Drosophila melanogaster: one gene and its partners. The protein of the gene in region 1 purifies or fractionates together with the protein of each later gene. This does not show direct contact. Each region holds a gene or a part of one and is shown in the gene's direction. Other genes may lie near its edges. The genes, in order: Sin1, raptor and unk.

What was found.
Region 2: the proteins of Sin1 (region 1) and raptor purify together in Drosophila melanogaster (affinity purification with mass spectrometry, with the first as the bait; one large-scale study listed by BioGRID). This does not show direct contact.
Region 3: the proteins of Sin1 (region 1) and unk purify together in Drosophila melanogaster (affinity purification with mass spectrometry; one large-scale study listed by BioGRID). This does not show direct contact.

What each region holds. Positions count from the first base shown.
Region 1 is NT_033778.4:14,410,111-14,414,389, forward strand, and holds Sin1 (SAPK-interacting protein 1), read left to right. Parts: upstream 1-1,714; 5' UTR 1,715-1,796; coding exon 1,797-3,506; 3' UTR 3,507-3,741; downstream 3,742-4,279. Other genes in the region: CG17385 (uncharacterized protein), read right to left, coding at 101-308, 615-1,174, 1,233-1,301. UniProt on the Drosophila melanogaster protein: Component of the target of rapamycin complex 2 (TORC2), which transduces signals from growth factors to pathways involved in proliferation, cytoskeletal organization and anabolic output.
Region 2 is NC_004354.4:6,087,126-6,091,819, reverse strand, and holds the start of raptor (raptor), read left to right. Parts: upstream 1-1,618; 5' UTR 1,619-2,113; coding exon 2,114-3,548; intron 3,549-3,606; coding exon 3,607-4,694. Other genes in the region: Mipp2 (multiple inositol polyphosphate phosphatase 2), read left to right, coding at 526-703, 978-1,411.
Region 3 is NT_033777.3:23,151,820-23,159,671, reverse strand, and holds unk (unkempt), read left to right. Parts: upstream 1-1,809; 5' UTR 1,810-1,828; coding exon 1,829-1,893; intron 1,894-1,961; coding exon 1,962-2,171; intron 2,172-3,178; coding exon 3,179-3,598; intron 3,599-3,660; coding exon 3,661-3,863; intron 3,864-4,122; coding exon 4,123-4,232; intron 4,233-4,431; coding exon 4,432-4,540; intron 4,541-4,701; coding exon 4,702-4,827; intron 4,828-4,897; coding exon 4,898-5,478; intron 5,479-5,534; coding exon 5,535-5,732; 3' UTR 5,733-7,580; downstream 7,581-7,852. Other genes in the region: VhaAC39-2 (vacuolar H[+] ATPase AC39 subunit 2), read left to right, coding at 433-1,118, 1,186-1,552. UniProt on the Drosophila melanogaster protein: Essential for late larval/early pupal development.

The sequences.
Region 1 (4,279 bases):
TCACATTCCATCTTTCCGTCGGAATCGCCGCTATTTGTATGTTTAGGTGTGAGTTGGGTTGTGTGTTTTCGTGGTATTTCATTTAAAATTATTGCCATTTCTAATGTGTAGTCTCAATTATGATTTCGTGCGTATCCAGATCGGGCACGGCAAACTTCATGGGCAAATAGTCGTCTGGATGCATGTGGGACATCTGGTTAACCTCCAGCTGGGCCCTTTCGTGGTCCTCATGGCACTTGGCTTCGTGCTTCTCATAGTCAGCGAAGGTATCAAAGATGGCCCGACACACCATGCATTCGAAAAAGCTTCTGAAAATGAAATGTTTTAATTCAATAATAAAATTCACAACAAGCAAATGTAGAAGGATCAAGGATAGTTTTGAGGCTAGTCAATTAATATATAAAAGTATTGATTGGGAACGTGTACACCTTCAAAAATGCATATAGTATTAATTGTTCATAAAAGGGAAATGAGCACAGTTAAGCACACTAATCAGCACCGAATCTAATCATGACCCGTCGATAATCGGTGTCGAATAGGCAACTTAAGGTAGGTCTGAACAGGTTGAACTAATCAAAGGGCACCTTGATCTTCTACAGCCGGCAAGTACTCACGGTTTCTGCTCCGACTCAAGCCGTTCCCTGGCCAGGGCGGCAGCCGCCTGGATAGAGGCGGGCACGTCCACATCGACGCCCTCCTTTATGTGCGACTGCAAGTGGCGCTTAAAGTTTGACAGCTGGGTGAAGCCCTTCTCGCAGTAATTACACTGGTAGGGCTTGGCGTTGAGGTGGCCAAGCTTGTGTTTCTTGAGGTTAACCAGCTGGGAGAAGTACCTGCCGCATCGCTGGCAGCGGAACGGCTTCTCGCCAGTGTGTGTCATCTTGTGGCGCTTCATGTTGCTCTGCTGGGTGAAGGACTTGTTGCAGAAGTTACAGGTGAATGGCCGCTCCCCGCTGTGCACCGCATAGTGGCGCTGCAGGTTCACAGCCTGGGCGAAGGCCTTCGAGCAAATGTTACACACGAAAGGCCGCACATCGTTGTGCACCTTCATGTGACGATCCAGGTTCCCCGAATTGCAGAAGCTCTTCGCGCACAGCTTGCACTCGTAGGTGGTCTTGTTGTGGTTGTGCACCTCTTGTCGATGCAACGTCTGATCCCGCTTGCTTCTGAAGGTCTGCATCAATGGATAGTGGTTAGATTGAGGTAATAGGAGACATTTCCCACACACTTACTCGGTCGCAGCGCTTGCAGCTGAACTGATTGGCCACCGTCTCGTCGAATTCTACCTCCATGCCCGCCATTTCGCCGTTGGCTAGCACATCGACTCTATCCGATTGGGAGTTCTCAAGAAGTGGACATCGAAAAACGGCAGGTCAGGCGACGATAAACTCACTATAATTAACTTATTCTGTAACTCGGCAATTTTTCGCGTCCAGAAAAAAGTCATATGGTGGCCTAGAGTGACCGTTTGCGTTGAATGAAAAAAGACCAGATTTAACGAGTACCGCTACAACTAGACTTGCATGTAAATTCAAAATATTACTTTGATAATAAGTACTTGGTATAACCTTTATCTTAATTGCATAATTTAAGTATATTCATGTAGTAGGTATTCCTCTTATGTTCTGTTGGGAACGGTGACTTGTGCGTGCTATTCGTTACCACCACCAAAAAGTGACCAGTAACAACCGCAATGTTCCATCTCTAGATAATCCAAAGGCGTTAGTGCATTTTTCCGAGATGCTGAGATAAATAGAAATTAATTTTGAAAAAGAGATTTTCTTTTGTTTACTACCATGGCGACCTACTCCAACCAGCATTGGCTGCTCTCCCACATCCGCAACTCCTTCATATCCACGGACGACACCGGAATGTGCGAGACGGTGATGCTGAGCGATGACATGCCCAAACACTATTTGCGAAAATTCGGTAACTCGGGCGCTGGAGGAGATCACTATCATTGGCGACGGGCGCACAAGACACCGCCGACGGGGGGCGGGACAACACCGGAGCGGAACACCCGGCATCCGGATGCGCCACTCCAGGAAGTGGACTTCATCTGCTATCCGGGACTGGACCTCAGCGACGACGAGGAGGACATGTCCACGCACTCCTTTGACATCCAAATGTATCCGGAGGTGGGCGCCCACCGCTTTCGCTCCAACACTGCCCAAAAACTAGAGAAACTGGATATTGCCAAGCGAAGGGCGGCGCGCATCAAGAGTGTTAACTACCAGGAGGAAGTGCAGCCACCGGAGAGCGATGATTTCTTTAAACGCAAAGAGTTGCCCCTCAGCAAAGCTGAGCGAGTTAAAAATGAACCGAAAGCCAACGACGATGATCTGTCAGATGAGGGTGTTCAGAGCCAGCTCACTGAACAGTTGGCCAAAAGTCCAAAGCAAGCACAGAATCGCTTCATTGAATTCGCCCGCTTCGATGGCACCTCCCAAGTGGGTATGCAAACGAAACGGATAAACGTGTTTTTAAATATGCTTCCCGAGCCGGATCGCAACTACCCGTTGAAGATCTGCGTCGTAGCCACTGCCAAAATCCAGGAGGTAATTGGTTTTGTCTGCTACAGGACCTCCTTACAATATCCCGACGTTCCTTTGAAGTCCCTGCAGCATTACGCTTTGTATATGACAGAGGATAATGATGATATGGAAGACTTCCCACCGTTGGACAATCGCGAACCCTGCTCTAAGTTTGGCTTCTCCCAACTGACCCTCGCAGAGCGTCGGCCATTGGCTCCAGTGACGCGAGTTGATTACCACAGCCAGCTGGGCAGTAAATCCATGACTTCCGTGGAAGACAAGACAGCTCTGTCCGATGCGGCTGTCAAGGCTCTGCAAAATATTAGCCTAAATGGAGGAACTAGTGATCCGGGTGGAGGAGGTGGAGGAGGCGATAGTCCACACGATAATGTCAAGGAGTATGAGAAGCGATTGTTGAATCACAACGATATGCTGGAAGCACCCATGCATCGTACTTTCCGCCTCAACATCATCGACAAGAGGTTCTTCAAATCCGATGTGACTCTGGGAATATCTGGTGAGAGAATAGAGATCGATCAGTGCAAGAATGCCAAGTTCTGGCCGCAGAAGAAGCCCGTATCCACTCCCATTGACTTTGTTGCTCACTGCGAGATTTTGGAGCGACGCCACCTGAAGGCTCTGTTGCGCATCTGGCTGAAGTCAAACTCCTCGTCCCCTTCCTTCTCCACGGGCTGCACTTCGGCGCCGATCAACGCCAGCGTAACCACACTGAATGCGGGAAGCGGCAGTGGTGGGATTGCCCACTCGCCCAGCAGTCCGGGTCACTCTTCCGGACTCTTTTCAAGCAGCAATATTCGCTTTAAGCACTACGACTTCGATACGGACACCCACACGGCGGAGCAGATCCACAACAAGCTGAACTGCATACTAGAGATGCGATCCAGCGATCTGAGGCGCGAGTTCCTTTTGCAGCGCGATCGGAAGCAGGAGAAGAGGCAGCTGAAGTTGTAGTATTTATTCCTATGGCAGCGGCTGTCGCTCGTTTGCCTAGCAGGCGGGCAACTGTCACTGCCGCTGCAACGTCCCCGCCTACTTCTCCGCCTCCGCCTCCGCCTCCTGTTCGATAAGTTGTATTAGTTGCTAACTAAAGATTGTGTTACACATGTTTGCCTAGCCTGTAAGTATTTATTGAACTCACCCAACTACGAAGCCTGGTCCTGAAAATAAAATTGCAAAATTTACACTTAAAATCGGTAATCTCTACATTTTTGCTTCCGCCTTGCCGCTGGCGTTTACATTGCGGTTTTGAAGCGATTCACGCGCGATTTGGCCGCGTTTTTAGCAGTATATCTGGTTTTCATTTCCGTTTTTCTCACTCTACCCACTGCAATTGTCTGTAATCAATGTGCAATTAATCGCACAGACAACCAGACGGGGACGGATCCAACGGTTAGTCGTATTACTGCACATATTGTTTTCGGTCTGGCTGTTTATTTTTAGTTTTGCAATGCCAGCGATGACTGGGTTGGGCGCCTAGGTCGCCTGCTAACAGCTGTGGAGTAGTCGAGAATAATGGCTAACTGCCGTTAGACGATCGTTGCATGCATATGCATCTGCAGCGTCGGCTAACCAAGCGATTGCAGCAGCGCGTTCTAAGGCCAAGGTTAGTGACTCGAAATCACGCCAAAATGCGCGACATTTGAGGCCGTTCGTCTGATGGCGATGATGATGCTGTTGGCGTGACCAAATCGAGGCAAATGTCAGCTTTCGATTTATGTTCAAGT
Region 2 (4,694 bases), on another chromosome or scaffold:
GATATTCAAAATGCTTCCCTTGCCAACGCTTATTCCTTTTGCGTGTTTGGCGTGCGACTAAACCATTTTTTAATCGCTTAGTTTGCCGGGCCGGTTAAAACAGAGCTTTTTGAGGCAGAAAGCTCGATTGGGCGAAGTGAACACTTGTTGAGTGGCAATGCGCTGATTTAGGCACCTGCAAATCTAACTAAATTTATTATAAAATAGTGTTAATAAAGCTTCCTGAAATGAGTAATCAACCAAGCACTTACAACTGATGCCATCGAAGATGCTATTTAAAAATACCGCCAACTGGCGGTGGAAACGGGTTTTTTTTGGCTGCCCCATGTGTTAGGGCTGCCAGCTGAGCTGATAGCCTTGCCACCTTGCGCGACTAGCACACTTGTCAATTTGTTTTTCTTTCGTGTTTATTATTTCCTAGATTTCTTTTGAGCTGGCATTTCGTTCTGTTTTTCACGTTTTAACCCCGTTTTTCGGTAAACCTCGTTTCTAATCTCGTGACAAGTTTTTCCACCGCCCGGAAAGATGCTAAGCCAATTTTACTGCTTGTTTTTGTTGCTCCTCCACTTCTTCGTGGGCGTGACGTTGTCTGAAGAGGGGGAGTGCCGCCGCCTTAATCGCGCAGATATCGAGGGCAGACTGTCCACAAAGACGCCCTACAGAGCGATCGCAAATTATGACGAAACGCCACCGAAATACGCCGGTTTGTATTTTTGTTGTTTTCTGTGTAACGCACCCACAGTAGGCACCCGCTTAGAAATACAAACATGTGTTGTGCCATGTGACAGTTAACAGCGCTCGCTTAATACAGTGAATTCATAATCATGAAAGCATATGGATTCTTTATTGATCATAAAACAGAGAATCGCTTTAGATTTGTTATTATACTATTACTAGTTTATTATTACCGATGCCTACTGCTAGCAAATGGCAATGGAACAGCTGATTTTTCTCTTTTAACCGTTTCACCCGACAAGGCTGCCATCCGACGCGAATTTGGACCATCATCCGACACGGAACTAGAAATCCTAGCGAATCCGTTATCCTTCAGGCGCAAAATCGACTATCAGAGATAAAGAAACGCATTCTGGATCAGACGAAGCCGCCGATCTGCACCGCTGAATTGGAAAAGCTGCGCCAATGGCACTGGATGCATCTGAATGCCACTGAAGATGAGAAATTACTGGTGGCCGAGGGTGAGGATGAGCTGATTGAGCTGGCGGAACGGATGCAGCGGCGATTTCCGGATCTACTTCCGGAGTTGTACAATCCGGAGTGGTACTACTTCAAGTATACTGCGACCCAGAGAACGCTGAAAAGTGCGGAAAGCTTCGCTACGGGTTTGTTCGGCCGTCATCGCATCCATACTGTACGATATCCGCCGCCTTTGCACGAGGATCCTGTTTTGCGGGTGAGCAGTCCTTTAGTTTTTTCTGTCAATGTAACCAAAACAAACTTTTGAATTACGCGCTACAAATGAGCTTGTAATGATCTGGCAACGCCATTCATTACAGCTAGGCCATTTCGCTGTTAGTTTATTATCGATATCAATGTTGTAAACCGCTTGCCAGCGTGCAATCGAAAAAATCATCGATTTTTGTTCCAGCTCTATTTTCTGCGCAATTCTTTTCGTATAATATAATTCGATTAAACATAAATAAATAAACCCAAGCGAAAGTAAATAAACCTGTTAATGCGCACCATCTTCCGTCGGAGATCGCTCGCTATAGTTGTACGGTTTTTATTTTGTCCCGGCATCGACCTAATCAGCCCAGGCGGCGTGTTTTCCCCGAGTTCTTTTTACCCGTTTTCGGGAAATGGTCCGCGATCCGTAGGCGGAAAACGTGGAGAAGAGGAACGTGGAAAGAAAAGCAGAAAAGCGCGGAGCGGAGCTGAGGAGGCGCTGGCGGTGGTGGAGGTGCGGAAAGTGCGAAAAGTGTTTGGGGTTATGTGCTAGAGTCCCCTCGGGGGGATTTTTAGCTGATTGAATCCGCGACCGAGACGTAATCGCTCCGGGAAATCGCTCGCATTGAGCTGCACCCTCTCCTCGGCAAACGGAAAAAGAAAAAAAGCAATACAGCGAGAAACGAGAGAAACAAAAAGCACGCAGAACATGACAAGTGCCGTTCGCGCTAAGTCCGCCGCTGCCGCAGTCGGCGTCGCAGTCGACGAAAGCAGCGGCAGCAGCAACGGCAGCGTCGCGGATCAAGAGGTGGCCTCCAGCAAGGAGGCCGTCCTGAGCGTCCTAATCCGCAAGAGATACGAGAAATATGTATTCGCCCCGTGGGACGATCCGATAATCTTGATAATGGAGCAACTGGAGCACATCGAGCACTGTCGATCCGCCGCCTTGGGGAACCAGGTGGCCATCGGCCGGGACCCATCTCAGGACGACTCTCTGAACGACCTGGGTAAGGTGATTAGCAACATGAGGCAGGACCAATCACTGGTACCAATCGTGAAGCACATCGAGCAAATATCCGACATTCAGGCCTCCAACGGCCAGGAACTGGCCTCCCTCGGTTCTTTGAGGGAGCTAATCCGGACTATCAGAAAGGAATGGCCCCGGGACGACTCTATCAAACTGCGGTTGAAGGAAATACAGATCCTGGGCATGCCGCCCGCTCGGAGCTTATGCTTCGGCGAGCGTATCCGCGACGACAGGTGCCCGCTCTCCCTGCAGACTAAAAGGCACAAGGAGCGCATCCAGGCCATGATGTACGAGAGACAGCCGTGGCGCATCCGCGAGCGCATGAAGACGGCAAGTGTGGCCCTGGTTCTGTGCCTCAACATCGGCGTGGATCCGCCGGACGTGGTCAAGATCCAACCCTGCTCACGGCTAGAGTGCTGGATAGATCCCAGCTCGGTGTCCCCGCCAAAGGCCATGGAACTCATTGGAAGCAACCTGCAGATGCAGTACGAACGCTGGCAGCCAAGGGCCCGGTACAAGAAGTGCAACGATCCCACCGTGGATGACGTTAAGAAGCTCTGCACCTCCCTACGCCGGAACGCCAAGGGGGAGCGCATACTCTTCCACTACAACGGACACGGAGTGCCCAAGCCCACAGCCAACGGGGAGATCTGGGTGTTCAACAAGACCTTCACGCAGTACATCCCCCTGAGCATATTCGAGCTTATCACTTGGATGTCAGCGCCCTCCATCTACGTGTATGACTGCTCCAACGCCGGGATCATCATCAATTCGTTTCAGCCATACGCTAAACAGCACGAGGAAGAACTAGGGAAGGCGCTGGCCGCCGCCCAGCAGAGGGGTGGTGTCCAACAGTTAGTGGGCGGCTCTGGTGGTGCCGCCAACGTAGCCGCCAACCAGGTGCAGTTAACCAACCAGATGGTCAGTTACAAGAACTGTATACACCTGGCTGCCTGTGCTGCAAACGAGATTCTTCCGATGAATGCACAGCTGCCGGCGGATCTTTTCACCAGCTGTCTGACAACACCCATTAACATAGCGCTCAAGTGGTACGCCATGCAAGAAAAGCTGGGCATGGTACCGCGTATTCAGAGCGAACTGATCGACAAGATTCCAGGTAAGGTTATACCTTTACTCACCCAGGGAATGCTGTTAACCATTAAATTCTATCGCAGGCAAGGTCAACGACCGGCGCACTATGATGGGTGAGCTTAACTGGATCTTCACCGCCATTACGGACACGATAGCATGGAACACACTTCCTCGCGAGCTCTTTCAGCGCCTGTTTCGCCAGGATCTGCTGGTGGCCAGCTTGTTCCGCAATTTCCTGTTGGCCGAGCGCATTCTGCGAAGCCACGACTGCACACCAGTTTCCCTGCCTGCCCTGCCGCCTTGTTATCGCCATCCGATGTGGAAGGCCTGGGATCTGGTGGTAGATTTGGCTCTACAGCAGCTGCCGGAGATTCTCGATCACAATGCGCCGTACCGCCAGCTGCCATTCTTCGAGCACCAGCTCACGGCCTTCCAGGTTTGGCTGGACAGCGAATCGGAGTCGAGAACGCCACCGGAACAGCTGCCCATTGTGCTGCAGGTCCTACTGTCGCAGGTGCACCGTCTGAGGGCCTTGGAGCTGCTGGCTCGCTTTCTGGATCTTGGTCCGTGGGCCGTTAATCTCGCCCTGGGCGTGGGCATCTTTCCATACGTGCTTAAACTGCTGCAGAGTTCTACGCGCGAACTGCGACCCGTTTTGGTGTTCATTTGGGCCAAGATCCTGGCCGTGGATCCCAGCTGCCAGGTGGATCTGGTCAAGGAATACAAGTACTTCCTCTCCGTGCTGCAGGACACCTCCGTTTCCAAGGAGCACCGTACACTGTCCGCCTTTGTATTGTCCTCCATAGTGCACAACTTCCTGCTGGGACAGACGAGCGCGCTTCAAGGTCCCCTACTGTCTATTTGCCTTGAGCAGTTGAACGACGGAAGTTGGCTGCTGCGCCAGTGGCTAGCCATCTGTCTGGGCATGCTGTGGCAGAACTTTGAGAAGGCGCGTTGGTCGGGAGCACGCGACCTGGCGCACGAGAAGCTGTACGTACTGCTGCGGGACTCGATACCGGAAGTGAGAGCCGCTGCCGTCTTCGCCTTAGGCACATTTATTAGCTCCGTGACGGATCGTAGCGAGGAACAGGCCAATAATATCGATCGCATCATTGCCATTACCATGCTCGAAACCGTCGGCGAGGATATGTCGCCGCTGGTCCGCATGGAG
Region 3 (7,852 bases), on another chromosome or scaffold:
GAAATTCAAATAGCAAGCTTTAACTAGGTGCATTTTCTTATAACTAAAATAATCTAGTTGGATGCACTTTAAAACGAACAAACCAAACAAATAATATCTTTTCAAATTTAAAGTTAAAATTTAAAAAACCGTTAGAGCGCTGCCATATTGTCAAAAAGGATAAACGAATGGCAGCCTTGCACCATCGGTAGCGCCATCTAGCGTGCATCGGTAGATACCGCCACCGAATATTTAAATATTATATATAAATATATTTGTAGCTTAATAAATATTATTTTAGCATCTAGAATCCTTAGTATTTATATCAGAATCAGTTCATCCGAGAAATACCTATCACCGCATGTTCCATCTATCAATTTCTGCTTTCACTTAAAAGTTGCCTGGCGTGTGAATTCCTACTAATAGATAGCTCGAAAATAATAATAAGTCAAAATGTCGATGATATTCAACACGGAGTATGGCTACCTGGAGGCCCTAACGCGCGGATTCAAGAACGGCATGCTAAAGCACTCGGACTATCTAAATCTGACCCAGTGTGAATCCCTCGAGGACGTAATGATCAGCATCCAGGGCACGGATTACGGTCTCATCTTTGGTGGCGAACAATCAGCGCCGTCCGTTGAGGTGATCGAAAGATGCCTTAGGGATCGTCTGCTGCAGCAATACTACTACATACGCAGTCATTCGACGGAGCCGCTGACCACCTTTATGGAGTTCATACGATATCCGTTCATGATCGATAATGTGGCGCTTCTGGTCGCTGGCCTAAACAATCACCGATCCATGAAGCGTCTGCTAAGAATGTGTCATCCGCTGGGCGAATTCGATCAACTGGGCGCCATCGAAGTGGCCTCGAATTCTGCGGAGCTCTTCGACGCCGTTCTAATTGACACGCCCATCGCTCGGTTTGTGCCACGCGATTTGCCCATGGAGTCGTTGCGTTACCTCGACGTGGAGATTGTGCGTGCCCATCTGTATCGTGCTTATTTGGAGAAATTCTACGCCTATTGCAGCCAACTGGGCGGCAATACCGCCAACGTGATGACCAATCTATTGTCCTTCGAGGCGGATCGTCGGACCATTACAATAGCTGTGAACGCTATTGGCAGTGATATCATGTAAGATATCTGTGTTGCTATGAAATTCTTCATATTATACTCATAATGCCCACCTTCCAACACTCAGACCGAAGGAGCGTCTAAAGATGTTCCCCACCTGTGGCTACCTGCCCAAAATAGCCTTGGCCTCCATGTCCACTTTAAATGATACGGATAAAATAAGGGATGTTTGCAATGTGTTCGATGGCTATGGCAAAATGTTTGACAATTTGGAGCGCGACTCGGACGGCATGATTACGCTGGAGGACCGCTTTCTCATGATGGAGGCCAAGAAGAATGTGCAGACCTTCCTGCAGCAGTACCATTTCGGGATCTTCTACTCGTTCATTAAACTTAAACAGTTGGAGGTACGCAATATCGTCTGGATTAGCGAATGCATAGCGCAGCGACAGACGGACAGAATCAACGCCTTCATTCCCATACCCTTGGACTAGAAACGCTTTTGCTTTCCTTCTTCGAAATGTTTTCCCTTTGAAATGTGTGTTATAATATATAGGCGTTGTTATAAATAAAACACATGCATAACAATTTCGCATTAATTTTGGCGCCAAATTTGTTTCGTTTGCGTCCCGGCTAACCACCCATCAACTGGGGTGTGTGTATTTGCTAACCAATCGATATGGACGATGCCGACAAAAATTATCGATATCAATCGACTTAAGGCCATGGATGCCCGACGCACCGATGTTTTTTGCACATCACTAACAACGATGTTGGCAAATGAAACGAACAAGCTGCTGCTTTCCTCGCAGCAGGAAAAACCAAATCACTACACGTAAATAGATGCTAACTAATGCAAACGATGGTTAATTTGACGTGCAACCTTTCCGCCAACCGTTTCAGCTACCTGAAGGAGTTCCGCGTGGAGCAGTGCCAGTCGTTTTTACAGCACAAGTGCAACCAGCATCGCCCCTTCGTCTGTTTCAATTGGCATTTTCAAAACCAGCGTCGGCGTCGTCCAGTGCGAAAACGCGATGGCACCTTCAACTACAGTGCGGATAACTATTGCACCAAATACGACGAGACCACTGGGATTTGTCCCGAGGGCGACGAGTGAGTAGAAATGTTGTGAAATTCATAGTTTCTGATGGCCCGTGAAAACGCTGGACGGGACGATTGCAGTGGCGGAGGATGGATGAGACAGCAATAGCGAACGACGTTGTATTTTTTTTGTTTCCTCTTTGCGCTCTCCTTCCTTCGCGATGTGTGTGTATCTCTTGTCTTCGTGTTTACAAACAAAAACCATAGTGTGTTTGTGTGCAGGGGGGTGTGGTGGGGGCGGTGGCAGGGGCCTGGCGTTGTCTGGAAAGCCAAAAGTGAAATTGTAAGTGCGTATGTGGGCGTGCTGCTTGCTGTATCTCTGTGCATGTGTATGTGTGTGCAGGCGAGGTCACCACCGTGCAAAAGTGAAAGTGATTCCAGCTCTAGTGGGCTAGCAAATTCTTATCAGCATCCGTTTTGTGGTGGTTGTTGCTCTCTTGTCGCATGTATACATGCACAGACGCTCGCATACACACAGGTACGCACAAACAAACACACGCACAGACGTAGGGCATCGCTACAAGTGTGTGCGTCATTGTTTTTATTGCGTTTCGCTTTTGCGTGTTTTCTTCTTCGTTTATTTTGATTTTCCCCCGGCAGCTTCGAAATGTACAGTTATTGTGGCTGGCGAGCTTTGGAGAAAAGCTCTGTGAAGTGTAAGAACGGGCTAAAAGTAAAACGCAATTACGCTTTGCGAGAGACAACAACAATGTCTGTTTTTATGACCCAGACTCGAGGTCCAACCTCTGACCCCGACCTCCATTCTATCCATTTATCGTTGTAGTCTCCTTACAGGGTACGAAGGTGGAAAGAAAGCGGTTTTAGTTTTGAAAGAGAAATTTCTTTTACTTATTAAAGAAATACCCTCAAACATGTATTAAAATGATGATTTTGCTGTAAATGTACAACTTTGTTGTTTTTTGTTACGGTTCTTTTTAATTAATGGGTATCATACAGTCCATTCACTTAGCCTCGTCGCCTGCTTTGACGTCACTAAAACTCCCTTTCTCCCCATTTAGATGCCCCTACTTACACCGCACTGCTGGCGACACCGAAAGGCGATACCATCTGCGCTACTACAAGACATGCATGTGCGTCCACGACACCGACAGCCGAGGATACTGCGTCAAGAATGGACTACACTGCGCCTTCGCCCACGGCATGCAGGACCAGCGCCCACCGGTTTATGACATCAAAGAGCTGGAGACCCTGCAGAACGCAGAGAGCACACTGGACAGCACTAATGCTTTGAATGCCCTGGACAAGGAGCGCAATTTGATGAACGAGGATCCCAAGTGGCAGGACACCAACTACGTGCTGGCCAATTACAAGACAGAGCCCTGCAAGCGCCCACCGCGCCTGTGCCGCCAAGGATACGCTTGTCCACAGTACCACAATAGCAAGGACAAACGTCGCTCGCCCAGAAAATACAAGTACAGGTAAGATTTCCCCTGAATTCATCCTAAAGTCAGTTTTAAACCGCGATATACCATTGTTTTAGGTCCACTCCTTGCCCCAATGTCAAGCACGGCGAGGAATGGGGAGAACCGGGCAACTGCGAGGCCGGCGATAACTGCCAGTACTGCCACACACGCACCGAGCAGCAGTTCCACCCGGAGATCTACAAGTCGACCAAGTGCAACGATGTCCAGCAGGCCGGATACTGTCCGCGCAGCGTCTTCTGCGCCTTTGCCCATGTGGAACGTAAGTATAGAGGATTCGATGAGCTAATATATAGGACTCAGCGTTGTGCTCCACAACCAGTTGTTGTAGGGATGTGTTTAGGGCCAAGTTATGATATTACAGTTCTAACTTAATGTTTGTCTTTTACTCGCCTCATCCATCAAACCGCAAATCTGTTTCCAACTATCACTCAAATCCTTTGAAAACACGTACATCAATCAATGTTTGCTTTGCCGCTCGGTGTTGCTTGTCCATGTAACTACTCCCAATCCAAATAAAGCATGTTCAATTGACGAGAAGACGCGGGATCACACGGTATACCTAAACGAGCTTATTTCCAATGCCTATCCTGATTTAAAAGCTCAGGATGCGTTTCAAAGGGTCGATAATGTACGTATTACCGAAGCAATAACACTCATCCAAATAACGCCATCGATTTGCATCGCCTAAACCTAAACGTACTACCACACATCGTTTGCCGCTCTAATCCAGCTAACCATCATCAACTAACTGCTTAACACTTTCGATAAGCCATTTAATCATGTGTCCTGCTCTCCTCGATTTTTTTCTTTTCGTTTTGTTCTCTTAGTTGTTGAACATTGATGGTAATAGCACCAATAAAATGTTGGTAGACGCTTTGGAAAACACAACAAATTTCAGCAAATTTTTAAGTTTCTCACGACCCCTGGACAGTCGTTGTGAGTATCCCAGAGTCCTGACATGCGTACGTCTAAGTTATACACTAGAAATCAGTTCTTCGTTTTGGTTGTGGACAAAGAATGTCAGCGCTTAGATAGCAAATGTCGTGACCCCTAGCCTAACTGAAATTCAATAATTTTTTGTCTTCACTCTTTGCAAGCAGCTTGCTCAATGGACGATCCGCGCGAGAACTCATTGTCGGCGAGTCTGGCCAATACTAGCTTATTAACACGTTCCTCGGCGCCAATTAACATTCCTAATACGACTCTAAGTAACTCAATTAACGGTAAGTAGTCATCAACGTCCTATGAGTGCCAACTAATTGCTAATGCTAATACTCCATTCCATTTGCACAGATTTTAACTCAGGTAGCTTTGCCGTCAACATTCCCAGCAGCTCGCTCACCTACAGTCCCACCAACCATGCCAATCTCTTCAACGTGGACGCCTTCAACTATGGCGGCTCAAACAAACTCAGCAATTCCCTTTCGGCCACCCAGAACGATAGCAGTCTCTTCTTTCCGTCGCGCATCATATCGCCTGGCTTTGGCGATGGCTTGTCGATTAGTCCTTCGGTAAGGATATCCGAATTGAATACCATACGCGACGACATCAACAGCAGCTCGGTGGGAAATAGTCTGTTCGAGAACACTCTCAATACGGCCAAGAATGCGTTTAGCCTTCAATCTCTGCAGTCGCAAAACAACAGCGACTTGGGTCGCATCACCAATGAGCTGCTCACGAAGAATGCTCAAATTCACAAGTTGAACGGACGTTTCGAGGACATGGCATGCAAGCTAAAGATCGCGGAGCTCCATCGGGACAAGGCCAAGCAGGAGGCGCAGGAGTGGAAGGAGCGCTATGACCTAGCACAGATACAGCTAAATTTGCCAGCAGAGCTTCGGGACTTGTCCATACAGAAATTGAAGCAATTGCAGGTTAGTCGCTTAATTAATTTCCCAATTCCATGGGTTTTAACCTGCTACCATTTTAGTCCAAGCTGCGCACCGACTTGGAGGAGGTCGACAAAGTATTATATTTAGAAAATGCCAAGAAGTGCATGAAGTGCGAGGAGAACAATCGCACGGTTACTCTGGAGCCGTGCAACCACCTGTCTATTTGCAATACATGCGCTGAATCGGTCACCGAGTGTCCCTACTGTCAGGTGCCGGTAATAACCACCCACACCTAGAACATGTTTTATCAGCAACAGGACCACAAGTGGCCCTTTGGCTGAAAATCGGATAGGGATGGGAAAGGGGATTCCGATGGGATATGAATGGATCATGGGGATCAAGACCGCGAACAGCATGACAATGTGGTACTCACAAAGCAAACTTTAGTCTTAAGCAAAACGTTGAAACTTTTGAACAGTTAGGATTTGACACATGCCTACTAATTGTGCATGTGGCAGGGAATATATAATTTATGTTTTCAATCTACTCAAAATATGCAAATTATCGTCATGAATATTAGTAATTACTAGGCACAAACTATTAATTGAATTAGCTAGCTGCTCTAAACGAATAAGTATGTAATTTTATTTTTGTTTATTTTTTCTCATATCGAATCGAATACAGGAAAAAACATTTTAAATTGATTTTGTACTATGATTTATGTAACCAACTCTTTTAATTTTGTTTAATATTCAATGTTTAGGCATACATATTTTCTAATCTACTGCACGAATTTGCAATGTCTCATTTATTTTTTTTTTAACCACATATGTATCTCTATATTTGTATTTAAATATGCTACACTTTCAGTCATATTGTACTTTTCACTAGTATTACATAAGAAATTATGAGAACTAAACAATTACAAGATGTAATTGAATGAAAGATATATAAATATATAATATATTAATTTTTCTAGACACTTTTAGCAATTGACTATTAACAAATTTATAGAAACCAACAAATTTAACAATATATTGTCGCATAGAAGAGCAGAAAACAACCACAAACAAACAAATACCACCAGTGATTTTATATAAGCCGATTTTCAAACTGTATTTTTTATGTATGTGTTTCAAACTTGTGAATGCAAACTACAACTAAAAGCCAAGACAATGGTCATAAAATCAATGTAACTGACGGGTAATCAATATTAGTCAGTACTCAGCTTTTATTTTCCTTTTTCAAATGCACAAAAGTAATTATAGACGTTGAAACGAGAAGTAACTAAAGGCGACAACGCTTTTCCTTATCGAAAGTTCATTTCATTTTGTCTTATTGAAAACCAAGTTGAATGTATTAAAACACTTTGATTTTTGTTTAGGCCTTGGTGCAGCTCGTGTAAGCCAATGCCAATTAACCAGTCACAAAATTATCAACTTACGTATATAATCTATTAGGTTACTTTGTGATTTGAATAGTGCTTTAAGTACTTACTTTGCAGATGACTTCAATTTTCATTTTACTTTCATAGTCTCAACTGGACGCTTCCAAATTAGTAAAAGCATAAAATGAATCGTCAATGTCAAAACGTAGTATTTAAGTCATATTAAATCCAGCATTTGGCTGATTGTACAAGAACGAATATGAACAGATATATATTTATGGGAAATTTGAACGCAGATTCGATGAGTGTGATGTTGAAAGCATAAACAATAAAAGTAACTCGATACAGCGAAATGAACAGAGTTTAATGAAAATGTTAACCAGAGTTAATGTAAAACCGTCTTCAAAAACCATTGTATTTTTCTGCGAATTAAAATTATCAAACGTAATCAATTGGACAATGTTGAATGAAACTGAAACGTGTTGTTAGCTAGTTGAGTTGAATTGATAAAGATGTAATCAAAATGAAACTGTTCTGGGAATGAATTGAATATGAATATGAAATCAACATAGGCATTTATTTGAAACAAAAGCAACACTATGAATATATATATACAAATGAAAAACTGAATTATATTATTACAAAGCTAACTAGGAAAGGCAGCGCAAAGGCTCTTATCTCTGTGTGTGTTTGTACTATGTTTTGTAGAAGCCAAATCAGCAAGAAATACAAATAATTAATAAATATAACAATAAACAATTGTGTGTTAACTTATAAATGCTTTAATAGTTTATGATACAAGTGTACACAAAAAAACTAAAAATCACGAGAACAAACAATGAGAAAATTGGTTTTATAATGGAGCTGTTGAGTCGCAAATCTATTGTGTGTATTACCAAACTAAACTGAAAACTGAATGCATACCTCTCTCAGAATATCACTGACTCTCATCACCGGAGACACAGTTTGAAAGATTTGCTAATTTACTTTATGAATCTCCACGAGATGTACATGGGATGTCTATCGAAC